Linked DNA regions of Nothobranchius furzeri. The protein of the gene in region 1 purifies or fractionates together with the protein of each later gene. This does not show direct contact. Links are inferred from orthologs where the notes say so. Each region holds a gene or a part of one and is shown in the gene's direction. Other genes may lie near its edges.

Region 1 (8,291 bases):
CACAGGAACAGCATCAAAAGAAAGGAAAAAAATGGTCTGAACCACTGATTTTAAATCAGGTGTGTCTAAACCTTTTTAGCTAGTTGAGCAATGCGTGAAAACACTCATCAGAAGTCAGGACTCAGATCTTTACAATGACATGCACTTGTTATTCTCTGTAACTGGTATTGATAATCCAAACATTCTATTGCCATCCAAGAAGTGCAATAAAGATTATGTCAAAAGATTCAAGTGGATTTTTTCTGCTTCTTCTTCTCAGCTTCTTCTTCCTTTTCCTTCTCGATCTCGGCCACCAGAGTCTCAATCTCCTTGGATTCCAAAATCTGTGAAGACGCAAAATTCACAACAGTTAGCCAAGAATAAACCTCTTGGAAAAAGAGAAACAGAAGCCAAATTTAAAGCTCACCTTAAGTGGCTGATTTCGTCTGATGACGGCAAGTTCGATGTTTTTTCCTCCCGACTGAACCACCTGTGAGGAATCAACAAATCACGGCTAATTAAATAACTTAATGAGTAAATACCTTTAAGTTGATCAATAAGAACATAAAACGTTGTTTAATATTTTGTCTTTTCTTTCCAGAAATACTTTGAAAAAGAGACTTGAGCACAACTTTTTGTGCCAAGGGGAAATATTTACTGCATTTGTTCAGTTTTATTCAAATTAGACAAAATCTTTCAAAGTAAAATCCGCTGAAGCCAACCTGTGACCTTACCTCAAGCAAAGCTTTGATAGCCAACTTGATGGCCTCGTTGTCCCCAGCAATGGCCTCATCTGTGTAATTCTTCTCCAAGAATTCCCTAACAGTTTTTGCACTACGGCCGATTGCATTTGCCTGATTTTTTTCATAATTAAAAAACAACAAAAAAATCAATTAGTAGTTTTTTTTCTAGACAATTGATAACAATCGCTAAAGTACTACAAAAAAAGTAAAATGTGCACACAGGAAATTGCTGACCTTCCACGCATGGTATGTTCCTGATGGATCTGTCTGATACAACCTGGGAGTTCCATCATAGTCAAAGCCAACGATTAACGCAGAGATTCCAAATGGTCTGCGGCCATTGCTTTGCGTATAGCGCTACAAATATAACAAAACATTAAATCTACAATGGAAAATTTTGAAAACAAAGTAGCTTAAAACATTTTTAACATCCAAACATGGTATAGCTAATCCAATCCAATTTATTTATATAGCGCATTTAAAAACAGCATGTCAGCTGACCAAAGCACTGCACAGAGTTAAACCTAAAAAGCCATTCAAAATACACATACATACACATTAAACACAGATAAAAGCTGTCATAAAATAGAAACACCTAAAAACAATACAAATGTATAAAACAGCCAATAAAAGAGAAGTCAATAAAAACAGAAGTCAGTAAAACAGAAGAGTCACAGCATAAAAGACCGATCATTGACCAAAAGCCAAATTAAAAATATGTCTTCAGGCTGGATTTAAACTGTGCCAGTGAAGAAGCCTGGTGTACCACCAGAGGAAGTGCGTTCCAAAGTCTTGGAGCTGCAAAGGCGAACGCACGCTGATTCTAAGTGTGGCCTCTTAAGAATGGGCTTTAGTCGGGCAAGGCGACGAAGCTGGAAGAAGCAGGATCGAACAGAGTATATATATATATATATATATATATATATATATATATATATATATATATATATAGCCATATATATATGGTCCATTCGGCTGTTGGTGTCACAGAACCGGCGCACTTCCCTAGGTGCTCCACTCGTACATTTTGCAACAGAACACCACTGGTGTGAGAGGTTCTCCACTCCTTAATATCAGTGGAGAAACAGCCCGCTGCTATCACTTAAACTTTAGCACAAATTACCAGAGTCCCAAAAAGAAAAACACATTTGAAGTCATGGACAACAAAGGACATTTGGACTCTGAAAATGGCAACTGGTGTTTCTCATCTCATTTCTTCTGGCAACATGGGTTTCCAGTTCCAACAGAAGTGTCTCAGGGAATATACCCAAGGGGAGTGTCACGTGACTGTTAGCATTCAAATTCTAGCTTGCTTGCAGATTTATTATAACAGCTTTAAATTAGGAGAATAACACAAAGCCAACTGGACTTTGGCTCTCAACTTAAAAGCTTTTTTTTATTCAAACCAAAGTGTGTGAAATTCCAAGCATTTAAATGTGTCATTAAAACATGAATCTTTAATAAGACAGAAAAAAATACACAAGAAAGCATCATTTCCTATGAACATGAAAGTTTGAGGACTTCTTTACACAAATTAAGATTGAGATATAAGTGTAAAACAATAACTCACTTGTTTCAGTGTTGCTATGTATCGTGTGATGTATTCCACTGTGACTGGGTCCTCAACCGTTAGCCTGTGGCTCTGGCACTCAACCCGAGCTCTGTTTATCACGATACGGGCATCTGCCGTCAGACCTAAAACCAAAATGTAAACATTGGCAAAAGGCAAATGAAAATTAAAAGATTTCCAACTGACAAATGATTGCATATAATATGTTTTAAGTAGAAGTTATTTTTTTTTTGCCGTTTCAATAATGACTTGTTTTTGGTACCTGCAAATGCCATGCAGACGTGTTCATCCAGGGCACATATCTTACGAACAGTCCTTTCCTCCTGCAACTTTGCCACAGATTTCTTCTCCACACCGAGGACAACAATGTCTTTACCCCTGATTCCCACCTAAACAGAATGAAATAATTGAATTTTACATTTGACAAATATACATTTGGATTAATTTACAGCAACACAAAATACTCTAAATAAACATGATTGTTAAATTAAGGCCTTGTTGTAATGAATAAATCACTATGCAGCTTAATTTAATTAAATCTAAAGTTTTATTAAGCCAAGTAGTTTTCTATTTAAGCCATGCTTATTTAGAGGGTCTGCCTCTCCTATTGCAAATGTAAAAGTGCTCATCAAGAATATGTTTTGTGCATCGACACAGCTTCAACTGAACCCCAATTGAAAAGGTTATTATTAGATGCCGTGCACTTCCAACAAAAGCCACTAAGTTACACTGTAACAGCATTGATACTTTAATAGTCAGGTATGGTGTCGCTACAGTGTCAAGTTTGAGCTACTTTATGCTAGCAAAACAGATCCTTACAAAAACACAGAAAAGCAATGATTTTGTTCACTTATAACCTTTAATCCGTAGCCTAACTTTGTTTCTACTAATTCAATCGACACCGTGAATCTATTTCTCCGTACCGCTGAAACTTGACAATAGCGGATCAAAACTGAAAGTAATTGAGTGACACAGCGACTAAATGCTAGCCATGGCGTGCGCTTTTCCCCTTCGTTAACTTTATATTAAGCGTTAACAAAATTATACACTTACAGTCTAAAACTATAAACAGGTCACAAAAAGTTAAGCTTGTTAAATTGAGGAAATAAAATGAATACATCATCTAAAGAGCTAGTAGCTGCCCGCTAGCGGTTAGCTAGCCACGTTAGCTTTTGCATTATTTTCATTTAAAGACGTACCGCTGTAGAGCCTTTCTTTACAGCTTCTTGTGCATACTCCACTTGAAACAGGTGGCCGTCGGGAGAAAAGACAGTGATAGCTCTATCATATCTTGCCGCCATTGCACTGCAAGACAATCCCAATCAAACGAATAAAGGAAACAGAGCAACCTCAACCAGATGATTCAGCTAGTTAGCAAATAGCCGCTCACTCGTTTTGCGTTCACAAATCAGCGCATGCGCGTAACCTTTAAACTGCGATGTACCAAAAGTGGGTCCCGCATTTCCGCCAAAGAAAAATTGTGATAAAAACACGAGTTTGATGATAATTGTGCTGTTAAAAATAGATATGGAAGAAATATGTTAAATAAAAAAAATACTAAATACGCATTATTTCTTGCTTTCCAGTGTGAAATATGGGTGTATATAAAATGCTATTTGTATTACTTATCAATTCGTTTATATCATAATTATCGCTGTTATTCTTTTTTCCCCTCTTTTTGCTGTGTAGTTCCTGCTGCCCCGTGGTGTTTCAGTCTAGCTGCAGACTGTTCCATTATATGAAAAATAGGTGGAATCGTAATTCTGTGAAGCAGTAAAAATGCGTTTTTGACGACAATATGACATATTTTCTTGACAATTTTCTCACTAGATTTAATACGAACTTCGATATTTAGTAAATAATCGAGTTAAGTGACAGTAAAAGACTTAACGTTAAAATTCCCTGATATCTCCCCACCCCTAAACGGGCCACTGCATTATGAAATTACACCGTATTCAGAGCTGCTGTGTGATTAACAGTTCTACCGATTTGTTTTGCTTGTGAGCTAATTTAAGCTTTTATGCTTTAGTTTGCTTTCGTTTGTAATATTATCACCATGTCGGTGGCATTTGCACCTCACAGGCAACGGAAGGGTGATATAACACCCGCTGGGATACAAAAGGTAATTCATCTTTTTAGCGCGGCGCATTATGGAGGCTGTGCTAGCGAAGGCTGCTAACCGTTGATTGCTAATGTAGCAGTGCCAGTCCAAGTCCAACTGTGGGCAGATTGGAAACAATGCTATGCGGTCTAAGCGCGGTCAATATGAACCTCCCTAAATCCAGACGCCATGTGTTCATGGTGAACTTTATGTCGATTGCTAGATGAATGGAGGCCCTCGGTTTGATTAGCAGAAGATAGCTAGCCTGCAAGTCGCGTCTTTTGTTAGCTAGAAACGCACGCTCACATTAACAAAACACCCCCCTTTGTTGTCAAGTTTAAACAAAAAACTCTACACTAACCTCGCGAAATAATACAACGTCACACATTTTAGAAAAATAAGCCCTAATGTTATCAGAAGTGACACCAATGTGACCAAAACACCTGCATTTACTTTTGTAGTTACTTGATGAAAACAACCAGCTGATCCAGTGTATAATGGACTTCCAGAGTAAAGGCAAAACGGCAGAATGTTCACAGTGAGTTCTGTTTTTTTTACATATATCTTTATTTTTTCAGTAATTGTATGTGCGATGTTAATTACCTTCAATTTACCCAGGTATCAACAGATGCTGCACAGAAATTTAGTGTATCTGGCCACGATAGCAGACTCAAATCAGAACGTGAACGTGCAGTCTCTCCTCCCTGCTGTGAGTACTGGTTCTGATTGATCGTTTAGTGAGTGTTATAACTAATATCCTTTTAAATAGCTGAATTTATACAGCAGATGAGCTCCTCCATGACTCACACAATGCATGTCTTATTTTGAAACTTTTATTTATTTATTTTTTACTTTGAAACAGTGCTTGTTTTTTGTCTTTTTATTTTATTCATCAGGGTATAATTGCACTAATAACTCCCACTTACTGGCTGTAAAGGGTTGTTGCTTGTTAACATTATCACATCACTTTTTAGAAAGTGGTGAACATGTTTGCAGCAGAATACTTTTAATGTGTACTGTTAAGTACTACACTGCATACACAATGTTCACTGAAGCAGCTAAAATTGTTTTTGCTTGTTTTGTTGCAAAATGACTAAATACCACTAATGCAAAATTGGCTAAAAAATACTATCCAACTTCTAGGATTTTTACTTCGATTTTGTATTCTAATCAATTAGATTTCATTTAAGCGCATTCTTAACGTTTCGACAGATGAATTAGAATTGAATTGCATTTTTTCTGTGTCATGTCCTTGTTTCTCAGGCGCAGGTGTGTTTTTAGACATCTGATGTGTATTTTTGTCTTATGTCTCATTCTCCTACAGCCACCCACTCAAAACATGCCCATGGGCCCTGGTGGAATGAACCAAAGTGGACCCTCTCCTCAGCCCCCACATGGTCACAACATGCCATCTGAGGGTATGGTCAGCGGTGGCCCTCCAGCCCCTCATATGCAGAATCAGATGAATGGACAGATGCCTGGTAATTCATTATCTAAATCCCCTGTTCCTTGTCTTTCTCTGTTTTCTCATTCTCCTTCCATCAGTTTCTGTCTTGCTTGTGTTGCCTAGCAACAGCACAGGACTAAGGGAGGTCCTTTTTTGCTGAAGGATGATGTCACCCTTTTGTCTGCTATGGTGGTCTTGGACTTACTCTCTTTTATTCTGGTTATGCTTTACTGACGCACCATAGTTTATGAATGCATTGAATTGGGGATTATTTTATGACTATATCATTTAAAGCAGATATTTGTTTCACATGGAATCTACTGGCCTGTCCTATAGCAACTTAAAAATGTAGTGGATCTCCATCAGTGAGTCTACTTCAGCGCACAAAAAAAAACATTTATATTTTAACTTTTGTTATCTAACATGTATTGTTCACTGATGTTTTTCAGGACCTAATCACATGCCCATGCAAGGTCCTGGTCCAGGACCCAACCAGCCTCCAAACATGCCCAGTGGCTCAATGAACATGCCTCCCAGCAGCCATGGCTCCATGGGTGGCTACAATCACGCAGTTCCTTCTTCCCAAGGCATGCCAGCTCAGAATCAAATGAACATGACCCAAGGCCAACCTATGGGAAACTACGGTCCTCGACCAAACATGAACATGCAGCCCAATCAAGGTGAAACGAGGCATTCCCATTTTTTATAGTCAATTACTGGTTAGATTTACAATGAAAGGAATTTATTAAACACTGATAAAAACCATTTTAAATTATTATTTCGGATTATAATCGGTCACTCTGAGTCTGTCACCTACACCTATCTCCTGGACTAACTTATGATAGAAAATAGACGGTGAAACTCTAGGATTTGAAAAGCCTGACAGATCTACATCACACTGCCACTTAACATTCATGGACTCTCTCATCTTGGCTTGTGACGAGGAAGGCCGTTGTTGGTTAGGTTTGGCGTTTAAGAAACGGCAGAGAACATCTCGACTGGTAGAAGCTAACCATTAGCATTAGCAACTCTGCCACATGGCAGAACTACTCTAGGCATTTGTTATTTGTGGAGATGAAACATAAAAGTTGCAGAGCAAACTGAGTCAGTGTTAGAATTGCTTTGCTGTTAACCAAGTAGAAACGAGATGTCCAAAAATCAGGAAATAAGTCTCCAAAACCTGCCATCTGAAGCTACTTTCTCCTCCAGCTTCCTGGTTCAGACGCATCTGGGTCCTCCTCCCACTCCCAGAGTATGACTTACTTAAGACATTCATTCCTAGTAGAGACCACTGCAAATGTATTGAACAAGAGTTCAACACGTTTAAGTCACTGTGGGGCATGGTTGTGTTCGACAGGTCCGGTGATGCATCAGCAGCCTCCATCGCAGCAGTACAACATGCCCCCTGGTGGTGGTGGACAGCACTACCAAGGCCAACAGACCCCAATGGGTATGATGGGTCAGGTCAACCAAGGGAACCACGTCATGGGGCAGAGGCCAATGCCGCCCTACAGACCTCCACAGCAAGGTAAACCACTCAGTGTGTCAGTTCCACATCCAAGCAGAGTGTCGGTCTTCCTTCTCCTTTTCCCTCCTGTGTTTCTCACTCTTGTTCCTCCCAGTCTGTTTCTATTTCATCTTCTGTAGACTGCAGACAACTTGTTCAGTAACGGTTTAATCCAAAATCCCGTGTAAAATTAGTTGTGACAAAGGGAAAGCTCCTTTAAGATGAACTAGAAGCAAGGAGTCTATCCCCTCTACCCTCTCCTCCCCCCTTACACAGCAACAGCACCTTGAATCTACATGTGTGTATGTTGTATGTAGGACCCCCCCAGCAGTATCCAGGGCAGGAAGACTACTATGGCGACCAGTACAGTCACGCAGGACAGGGCGCCTCAGAAGGTAGGAGAACCCTGCAAGTCACTTGGGAGAACACAGACAATCAGTCAACCCAGGAGTTGAGTCAAAACACAAAAACGATGCTTCGACTAGGGTTGTCACGGTAACCGGTGTAGCGGTAAACCCTGGTAAAAAGTTGACAATAATAATAACCGTCTTGTTTTTAAAAAAAAAACGATATTATCTCGGTGGATTACCGTGGCTGTGGTGTAGGCGCGGTGACCCTTACCAGCCACCGTATCATCTGCTGAAGTTGCTGGCGGCACATGCGCGCTTTGTTGTTTACAACCAAAACTTTCTTGAAGCTAAAGCTGAAATAATGGTCAAAGGAGGAGACGGCAGCGCTCAGGAGGACATTTTTTATCCCTCAAAGAAGACAAAGTGGGAAGTACGGGCATCTTTTGGATATTTGAAGAATGCCGAGGGACAGTTGATAGAAGACGGCTATCCTGTTTGCAGCACGTGCAGAAAAAGTGTCTGTGAAAGGCAGCAACGCTTCAAATCTCATGACACATCTGCGTGACCATCTCCCGCAACTCTACAGTCAACGCA
Region 2 (8,055 bases), on another chromosome or scaffold:
TTGCTCAGATGTGTTACGTCAAATATTTACCTGGTGGATTCTTCGCCTTTGTAATAATCTGCTGCTTGTTCATAATGAGCAACAGCCTGAAACACCACCACCCCCGAAAAAAAAAAATTCAAATGACCATGTAAACATTTGATCAAATATAAACAACGTGATAACCATCAGCTGTGTCTCTGACCTTGTCGATGTCCACCAACTCCGTCTCATAAATCTCAGCGATGGTGATGTGGTGTTTAGCAGCGATGGTGAAACGACCCTAAAATTACACAGGAGCAAGGACGAAACAAAATTAAAAACACAAATCAATAAAACTATAATAGCTTAGGAGGGGGATTTGTATTAAAAACCTCACCATATCCGTGTATATTTCAATAGCTCGGTTTAGGCAGTTTATGGCCTCTGTTGAGAGAAAAACATCAGTTCAGTGAATGACAAGAAATAAGTAAAAGGAAATTTCTTTCCACTGCAGAAAACAGACTTTAGACAAAGTTCACTCATTTTCTCAATACATCTGCAGTGATCTCTAGAATGCATGAATGGCTTGTGAAACAACATCTCATGCTCCTGTTTCAGGAAGCAGAAGTGAGCAGAATTCCTGATGTTCGGACATCTCACCTCTGATTGACTAACATTAACACAACTCTACCACTGACTGTTCTGCAACACTGATATGTTATCTCCTCAAATAACACAAGCCTAAAGGAGTTCTGCTATGTTGTGGAGTTGCTCATGCTAACAGTTAGTGTCTACTAGCTCTGCTCTTTTCTGGGTGCTAAACCAACAACAGCCTTCCCCCGTCGTGAGCCAAGATGGGCGAGTCCATGAATGTTAATTCACAGCTTGATGTAGAGCTGACTGTACTTTCTAACTCAAACATTTCCCCATCTATTTTCTATGGGCGACTAATGCAGGAAATATGGGTAGAAGACTTTTTTCACGTTCAGCCTGTACACAAAACTCAGAGCTTCCAATCATATTTACATAATAATAAGTAAAAAAAAGTTTCTCAGTGAACTTGGTCTTTAAATGCACTTCTGTAGGAAACATTTACCCTAAACATCAGAATCAGGCTTACCCAGAAACTTCTGCACAGGTTGAGGAGTTTAACATTTCTGACTGCTCAAGAATTCCTGGTATTTGTCTTTGACGTTTCATCTTACTTATATCACATTTAGTTTTGAGTTGTGCCACCTGCACAGGCACAAATAAACTGCTGCAAACAGGCATTGATGTTGTTCAAAATCTGCATGTATAAAAACTACCCTTAGTTTTAAAAATAAAGAGTCTCGATCAGGGGTAAGTCTATAGAAGACAGCTAAATTTCAGACACACAAGATGCTTGGAACTAAGCTAGTATGGGGTAAACTAAAGACTGTAGATAAGTGTACACAGTCATGGGATCAAACTTGCTGCCAAACCAGGTATTAATTAGATTGGCTGCACTTTATATGAAGTTAATTTTAAAAAGTCCAAAAATGTATTTCCTTCCAGATTTTAAAACCTTTTACAAAGAGCTCCATGTAAAATTGAGTGACCTCTTACCTTGTGGATCTGCTTTTTTGAAGGCATTTCCAGCATCTATGAGATTAGTTGCTGCATCGTGTTTACTCTGCATTTGCAGGTGAAGATGAGCAGCCTGAGCAAACGCATTTCCTGCAGCTGAAAAGAAAACACAAATTAAAAGATAAAACATATCAACAGATATGCACAAGGAAGGGAAAGTAACTGTCCTCTTACCACACCAGTTTTTGGCCATTTTGTACATGTTGGCTGCCCTCACATACAGATCACAGGCCTCTTCCAGCTTGGAGGAGCTCCTGTGTGAAAGAAAAAACGTGTAAAAAAACAACAACTATAAGATACTGGTTATTAGCAGGTTAGGATCGTGTAAATGCAATAAACAAGACTGGATAATAAGTAATTACTTTTCAAAATAAAAATAGTAGATAGTATTTCATCTGTTGAGATTGTTGTCCAATAATGACAATATTTCCGCACCAACATTTTTATGGCAAAAGGCAAATATCAATAAATAATTTTCATTAGATTTGATACAACTTTGAGGTTTCTACTGTAAACATTGTGACGATTTGCACAATACGGAACAGCCAGCAGATGGTGCTACAGCAGAGCTAATGTGATCACACTTTTTAAAAAAATATTTTTTTACAGTCATACTTAAATAAAAACGAATTTAGTATTCTGTTATCGTCCATGTCAAACAACGGTTTGTTCAGTGTAATTTTTCTCAGTTTACTGGGATAAACGGCTACGTGTTAGTCTTTGTTGTTTGCAGACGTTATGGTCAGCAGAAATCCGGGGAAATAACCTTACGTCCGTAGACAAATACTCTCAATACCACAACATCTTAACAGCAGCTCCAGTCCTGTTGTGCCCAGCCATCAGCCCTGGTGTTAGGTGGTCACCTTCCGCATAGCTGGCCCTCAGCTTGAAAGCAGAAGCTAAACATCAGCTAACTAAAACTCACCCAAACAGCGACCCGAAAAACGACTGAGATGATTTAACTTTCTTCTCCGCCTCCGCCATTAAAGCTGTAGCTTCTTTTTCTTTCCCACTGTTATCCATTCTGCTTTACTTGTTTTTCTGAATCTAAAGGGGGGCGAAAAAATACTAAAGTCAACAAAGTTGCTAAGTATTGCTAACAGCAGTGTCACATCAGCAGCCAGCGCTTTCTCTGTCACGTGACAATGGGAGGGCGGTCACAGCCCTGCTGCCTTCAGGTGCTGCTCGTACGGTCCAGAGTTGGTCCATTACAAATCTATAATGTTTCATGTTATAAACTGATTGTAGACCATGCTGCAACACAATATATCAATCGATAATTTAATTAAGAAACATGTTCGTTGTTAATATTTGCTGTAGAAACAAAGGAATCGCTTCTAATCTGTCTCAGGATCATTACAGTGCGTTCATGACAATCTATATAAAACAGTTCCCTTGTGTTATCTGTTTTCAACAGCCAATTATTTTTCTATAAGCAATCAGACATTAAAGGTGACAATATTTAAGCATAAATGTTGTAATAAAACGTAATAGCGTAAATATCTTCAAAAGTGCAGTTTTAAAGGAATATTGATTAGAATTATAATAAGAAAATGCTTTCCTTTAGTCAATGCCAGTTCCATTATAAAGAGACATTTTTAATCAAAATGGGTTAGCATCATAATGAAACTGTTTGTCAGCTGAAATCTTTACAATTTTAACATAAATAATAGATAACAACTATGTTAAGTGGTTTTCCAGGCTTTGCATTATAGCACAGTGAATTAAATGTGTGTAAAATATTTTGTTGAAAAATACATGACAAACATATTTTAGGGCTATGGGTTGTGGTAGGTAACTACATGAGTCAAACATTCAAATACCTTTTTAAAATTTACAAAAATAATCACGTATTTTAGAACTATACAAAAATTATTTAAAATATGGAAAAGGAATGTTTTCTTGTAGATTATGTTACAGTATTTTGCTTAGGCTTTTTGTAGATTAGTTTGTTCTTTTCTTAGCCAAAATCATATAATCTGATTGCAGTTCAAGACTGGGTTGCATTTATCTAACAAATCTGCTGGCATTTGTTAACATGACTGCTTTTATATTTTTTTACATTTGTGATCCAGTTTCTTTTATGATTTCATTTTAAGCAATTTCTCCCCACAGGCTTCCTCTGCTGTTCCTGCCTTTCTATTGATGTTTTTTGAGTTTTAAAAATGAAAACAAGTTAACATGAAGAATATGTCAAATTTAAGAATGCACTAATTAACACAACAAAAATGTTCAAAAACCGTTTAATGTTCCGAATGGGTATTTGTGTGTAAAGAAAGTCTCGATAAACAACATGGATTTCAATCAGGCAGAGCGGAAGTCTGCCGTTTCCTGCCAGTAGTTGGGTCCTGTTGAGCAGCCCGTGCGAGGCTGTCCTGGAGACCCCGCGCTGCCTGCACCTCTAACGTCTCGGGTGAGTTTGTTACAATGTAACAATTTCTCCATTAATCCCAATATCCGCTACAAAGCTGCGATATCTGCTAACTGTTCAGCAGACACGAACCGCACTGCTACCGCAAAAGAAGCGACACACTGCCGCATCACACCGTAAACAGGCTCGTTTTCCAACGAATTCCCAAGCATACCCCCTCTCATCCAAGAGTATTCCAACATTTACTGATATTCTGCTTGCAATTAGCAATAGCTCGCCACGTAGTTGCGTTTACGACTATAAGCAGACAGCATTTCTTCGTTTTAGCTCAACCGGACTGCCGCTGTGCGTAATTTGTGTTAAAATTGTGTCACTCTGGTTTGTTTTGAATGTCAAAGGCTCGAGCTAGCTATACGTCTGAATATTGTTGATAGCGGGGGTAGCTTGCTAGGCTAACGAAAGTCAACCCAAAAGCACCCAAATTGCTGAAATTACGGATGAAACTGTTTTAATTTCAAACATTTGAGTCGTAGGTCAGCTGTGTTGCTGTCAGATACTGTACGTTGGGGGAATTTGTTGAGGTATGCATGCAAAGCTCATTAAAAACATCAGCTAGCATCTAGCATTCCGTTTGCAGCGTCTCCATTCATATCCTGCGCACTGGTTTTCTGTAACCGAGCTGCGATCGGCGGACAGCTGGGACTCCTGCATCATGTCCACAATTTATTTGCATAGAAACTGTGTTGGTTTGGTTTTCGTGTTGTTGGACGAGCTGTGCACGGTTAAAAGTCAGCGACAGCTTACGCTCAAAATCTTTCCAGGCGGTGCGAAAACCGCGCGTTTTCAGTTTGTTGTCTGCTGTTTGATCGTGTTCAGAAATTTTAAGTTTTGTTACGTGTCTCGATGAGTTCAGGGCCGCACCAAGGTTGTTTGATACCGAGCGTACATGGGGAAAAATCTCGCTTTGTAATTGATATTGATAATCAAACGCTAGGTTAGACAGTTTTCGTTTTTTAGGAACTCAGAATTACTTTCTATGTTGATTCATAGTTTTTAATATAAACTAAATGCCTGATAGCATTGAGTGGTCTTTAAGATTTTTTTCCAAAGAAAAAATTTGTGTATAAAGTATATGAATACATTTTTTCATTGTTTTGAACGTTTCTTGCTGTCAAACATTTATTCATAAGTCAGAAAGAGTTTGTTGCTGGCCTATGGAGACTTCTCATAGCTTTTTACCATCAGGGAGGAAATAAAAAAACCTATGTCTAAAGGGAAAGACTCACTTCCACTAAAGAACTCTTTCTTCAAAAGAAGACACAGATGATTACTGAATAATTACCCGGATGTTTTTGGGGTGTGTGCCATGCCATCTCTTACTGCAAAAAACTGCCACTTAACAATATTTGTAATTATTCGCTTGGATTGTTTAAATGCCTGTATCGGTGGCTCAAGACTTTTTGAAAGTCAGTCTTTATCTTGCATCTACATGTCTTTAATGGCTCGAGTTTTGCTGGAGTAAATATGAAAATGTCGTTTAAAATTTAGTCAGCATGTGGTTTGAGAAAGTCAAGAATAATTATGAAGTTAAACCTAAGACAAACCCCATGTAATTCTTAATAACCATGTTATACAAAATGTAACTGAGTATTTTGGTTGTGATTGTTGAACAAGTCATGACCGAGCTTGAAGGTGTTTTTCATCTCAACAGTTGTCATGGATGATGAAGACGGCAGGTGCCTTCTAGATGTAATTTGGTAAGTATGTTCTGACAGCGTGAAAGACCTGATTCTAGTATTGTAGGAAATTTTATATCAGATTGTTCGGTTATGTGTCATTGTGTCACACATCTGTTGTTTTCTCCATCAGCGACCCAGAAGCTCTTAATGACTTTCTTCATGGATCTGAGACCCATGTAAGTATGAGAAGGGCTAACAAATGGCCGCATTTAGCAAAGCTTCACGATACAAGTTCTCCACTGATGAGTGACTTGTTCAGGTTTTATCTTTGTTGCTTTTGCATCTCTAATAAAATCAGTTTCGGCTCACAAGTTGATACACCCTGTAACCTGCATCCCTCACTGCTCTCATTAAACTTTTTATAACTCCTCTGCCTAATGGTTGCATTTGGGTTGCCAGAACAATAATTCCTATTACTAACGTTTCCCAACTCTTGAGTTATTCCTGTCATTTTGTTCCTCTGTAGCTTATCTCTTTACTGATGCTTTACGTTCTGGGTTCTCTGAACCATGTTCTGCCCTTGCCTTGCCCTCCCTCTGTTTTGATGGTCTGTATGTTTGTCCTGGTGACTTTTTTGCCTGCTGGTTTGGGTGTCTTTGGTTTCTGTCTGTCTTACCCTTGGTGGGTGTGTCTGTAGTTGGACACTGACGACCTTTTGGATGGTTCGAGTGACCCCTCCAGCTCGTTCTTCTCTGCCACTGGGGTGAGTAAAGCCCCCCACTTTTTTTTCCTGCTGTTGTCCATCCATCTTTGTTGCATGCTTCCCTAAATCCCTCCCTTTTCCACTAACAGATCTACAGTCAACATGCTATAATTCGCTGCAATTGTACGAGATGTTTTATTGGGCTTTTGTTTTTGTTTCCAATCAGTCATGTTCCTCGCTATCATGTCTGGTTTCACTTTTTCTTTTTTAAAGGGACATGTTCCAGAGGTCCAGCCTGCAGTCCAGCTGTCGGCCAGCGAATCAGCAGGCCTGCCGAGAGTCAGCGTTGACCTGGACTTCCTTGAGGATGATGACATCTTGGGTGGATCTCCAGGTGGAGAAGGTGGTAGCAATGGCATTGGGACAAATCACGAGACATGCGACATCTTGCAGCAGAGTTTGGCTGAGGCCAACATCACAGAGCAAAGCCTGCAGGAGGCAGGTGCCGAGCTGGACCTGGATACCTTTGGAATTCCAGGCCTTGCACAGGTGGTTCAGGCACTGCCTGATGCCAGCCTCGCTGGAGCTGGAGGCACACCTGTTGGTGTAGGCATTGGCGTCGGTGGAGCTGCGACGATTTTTCCCGGGTCTGCCCCGAGCACCACGGCTACTCCCCCCAACGCCACAGCTGACATGCTTGGTTCAGTGCTCGCTCAGCAGGGCCTTCAGCTCCAGTCCCAGGTTATGAACAAAGCTATTAGCGTTCAGCCATTTATGCAGCCTGTGGGCCTGGGAAACGTGACTCTTCAGCCCATTTCAAGTCTCCAGGCTCTCTCCAACGGGAGTCAGTCGGGACATTTGGGTATCGGACAGATTCAGGTTGTGGGCCAGCCTACCGTGATGACTATCAATCAGTCTGGGCAGCCAGTCTTGGCTAAAGCCATGAGTGGATACCAGCTGCACCAGTCAGGTTCGGAGGTATCAGCTGCTGGTTCTCAGGCAGGACTTGGAGCCTCGGGAGGTGGACTTCTAATCCAAGGCAACAAAGCGACTTTGGGATCTCCAGCTTTAAATGGACCGGCTGTTTGTGTCAGCAGCACAAGCAGCAGCGGTAGTGGTACCATTACCGCTCCCGCTGGGCTTGTCGGCTTTGGAAGTACCCCTCTGAGTGCAGGGGTGGCACCACAAACGCAAAATCCGGGCCAGATCATGCAGAACGTGATCATCCAGCGTACACCAACACCCATTCAGCCCAAACCCGCACAGGGGGGAGCCATTCATAGTAAACTCTTCAAACCACAACAACAGTCGCAGCCCCAACAAGCAGCTCCCCAGGCCATGCAAAATGATGCCCATAAGGCTCTTGGGCTTCAACAAATTCCAGTTTCTGCTGCTCAGAATGTGGCCTTCCTAACAGGAAAACCAGGTTCTAATGTTGTGTTGAGCACTCGGGCTGCAACACAGGGCCCCCAGTTCCAACAAACTCTATTCAAGCAACATGCTGCACAGCCGTCCGGCAAACCCCTCAGTGTGCATTTGTTAAACCAACAAGGCAGCATCGTTATTCCCTCTCAAACGGTTCTCCAAGGTCAGAACCACCAGTTCCTCCTGCCCCAGCTACAGGCAGGTGGGCAGATCCTAACCCAGCATCCTGGTGGCCACATCATAACCAGTCAAGGTCCAGGTGGACAGCTCATTGCAAACCAGATTCTAACAGCAAACCAGAACATTAA

Evidence for each region. The genes of interacting proteins can lie anywhere in the genome.
Region 2: the proteins of ss18 (region 1) and bicra purify together in Homo sapiens (affinity purification with mass spectrometry; 3 studies listed by BioGRID and IntAct, counting the BioPlex papers as one, with this or other methods). This does not show direct contact. The link is inferred for Nothobranchius furzeri from reciprocal best matches to the Homo sapiens genes SS18 and BICRA.

What each region holds. Positions count from the first base shown.
Region 1 is NC_091751.1:52,435,342-52,443,632, forward strand, and holds the start of ss18 (protein SSXT), read left to right. Parts: upstream 1-4,228; 5' UTR 4,229-4,348; coding exon 4,349-4,414; intron 4,415-4,854; coding exon 4,855-4,931; intron 4,932-5,011; coding exon 5,012-5,102; intron 5,103-5,717; coding exon 5,718-5,874; intron 5,875-6,289; coding exon 6,290-6,520; intron 6,521-7,197; coding exon 7,198-7,368; intron 7,369-7,664; coding exon 7,665-7,742; intron 7,743-8,291. Other genes in the region: psma8 (proteasome subunit alpha-type 8), read right to left, coding at 228-323, 407-469, 714-833, 957-1,079, 2,293-2,417, 2,555-2,681, 3,492-3,593. UniProt on the Homo sapiens protein: Appears to function synergistically with RBM14 as a transcriptional coactivator. Isoform 1 and isoform 2 function in nuclear receptor coactivation. Isoform 1 and isoform 2 function in general transcriptional coactivation.
Region 2 is NC_091753.1:46,786,556-46,794,610, reverse strand, and holds the start of bicra (BRD4-interacting chromatin-remodeling complex-associated protein), read left to right. Parts: upstream 1-3,914; 5' UTR 3,915-3,982; intron 3,983-5,651; 5' UTR 5,652-5,656; coding exon 5,657-5,697; intron 5,698-5,809; coding exon 5,810-5,855; intron 5,856-6,316; coding exon 6,317-6,382; intron 6,383-6,595; coding exon 6,596-8,055. Other genes in the region: napab (N-ethylmaleimide-sensitive factor attachment protein, alpha b), read right to left, coding at 31-86, 185-262, 359-405, 1,549-1,823, 2,495-2,592. UniProt on the Homo sapiens protein: Component of SWI/SNF chromatin remodeling subcomplex GBAF that carries out key enzymatic activities, changing chromatin structure by altering DNA-histone contacts within a nucleosome in an ATP-dependent manner.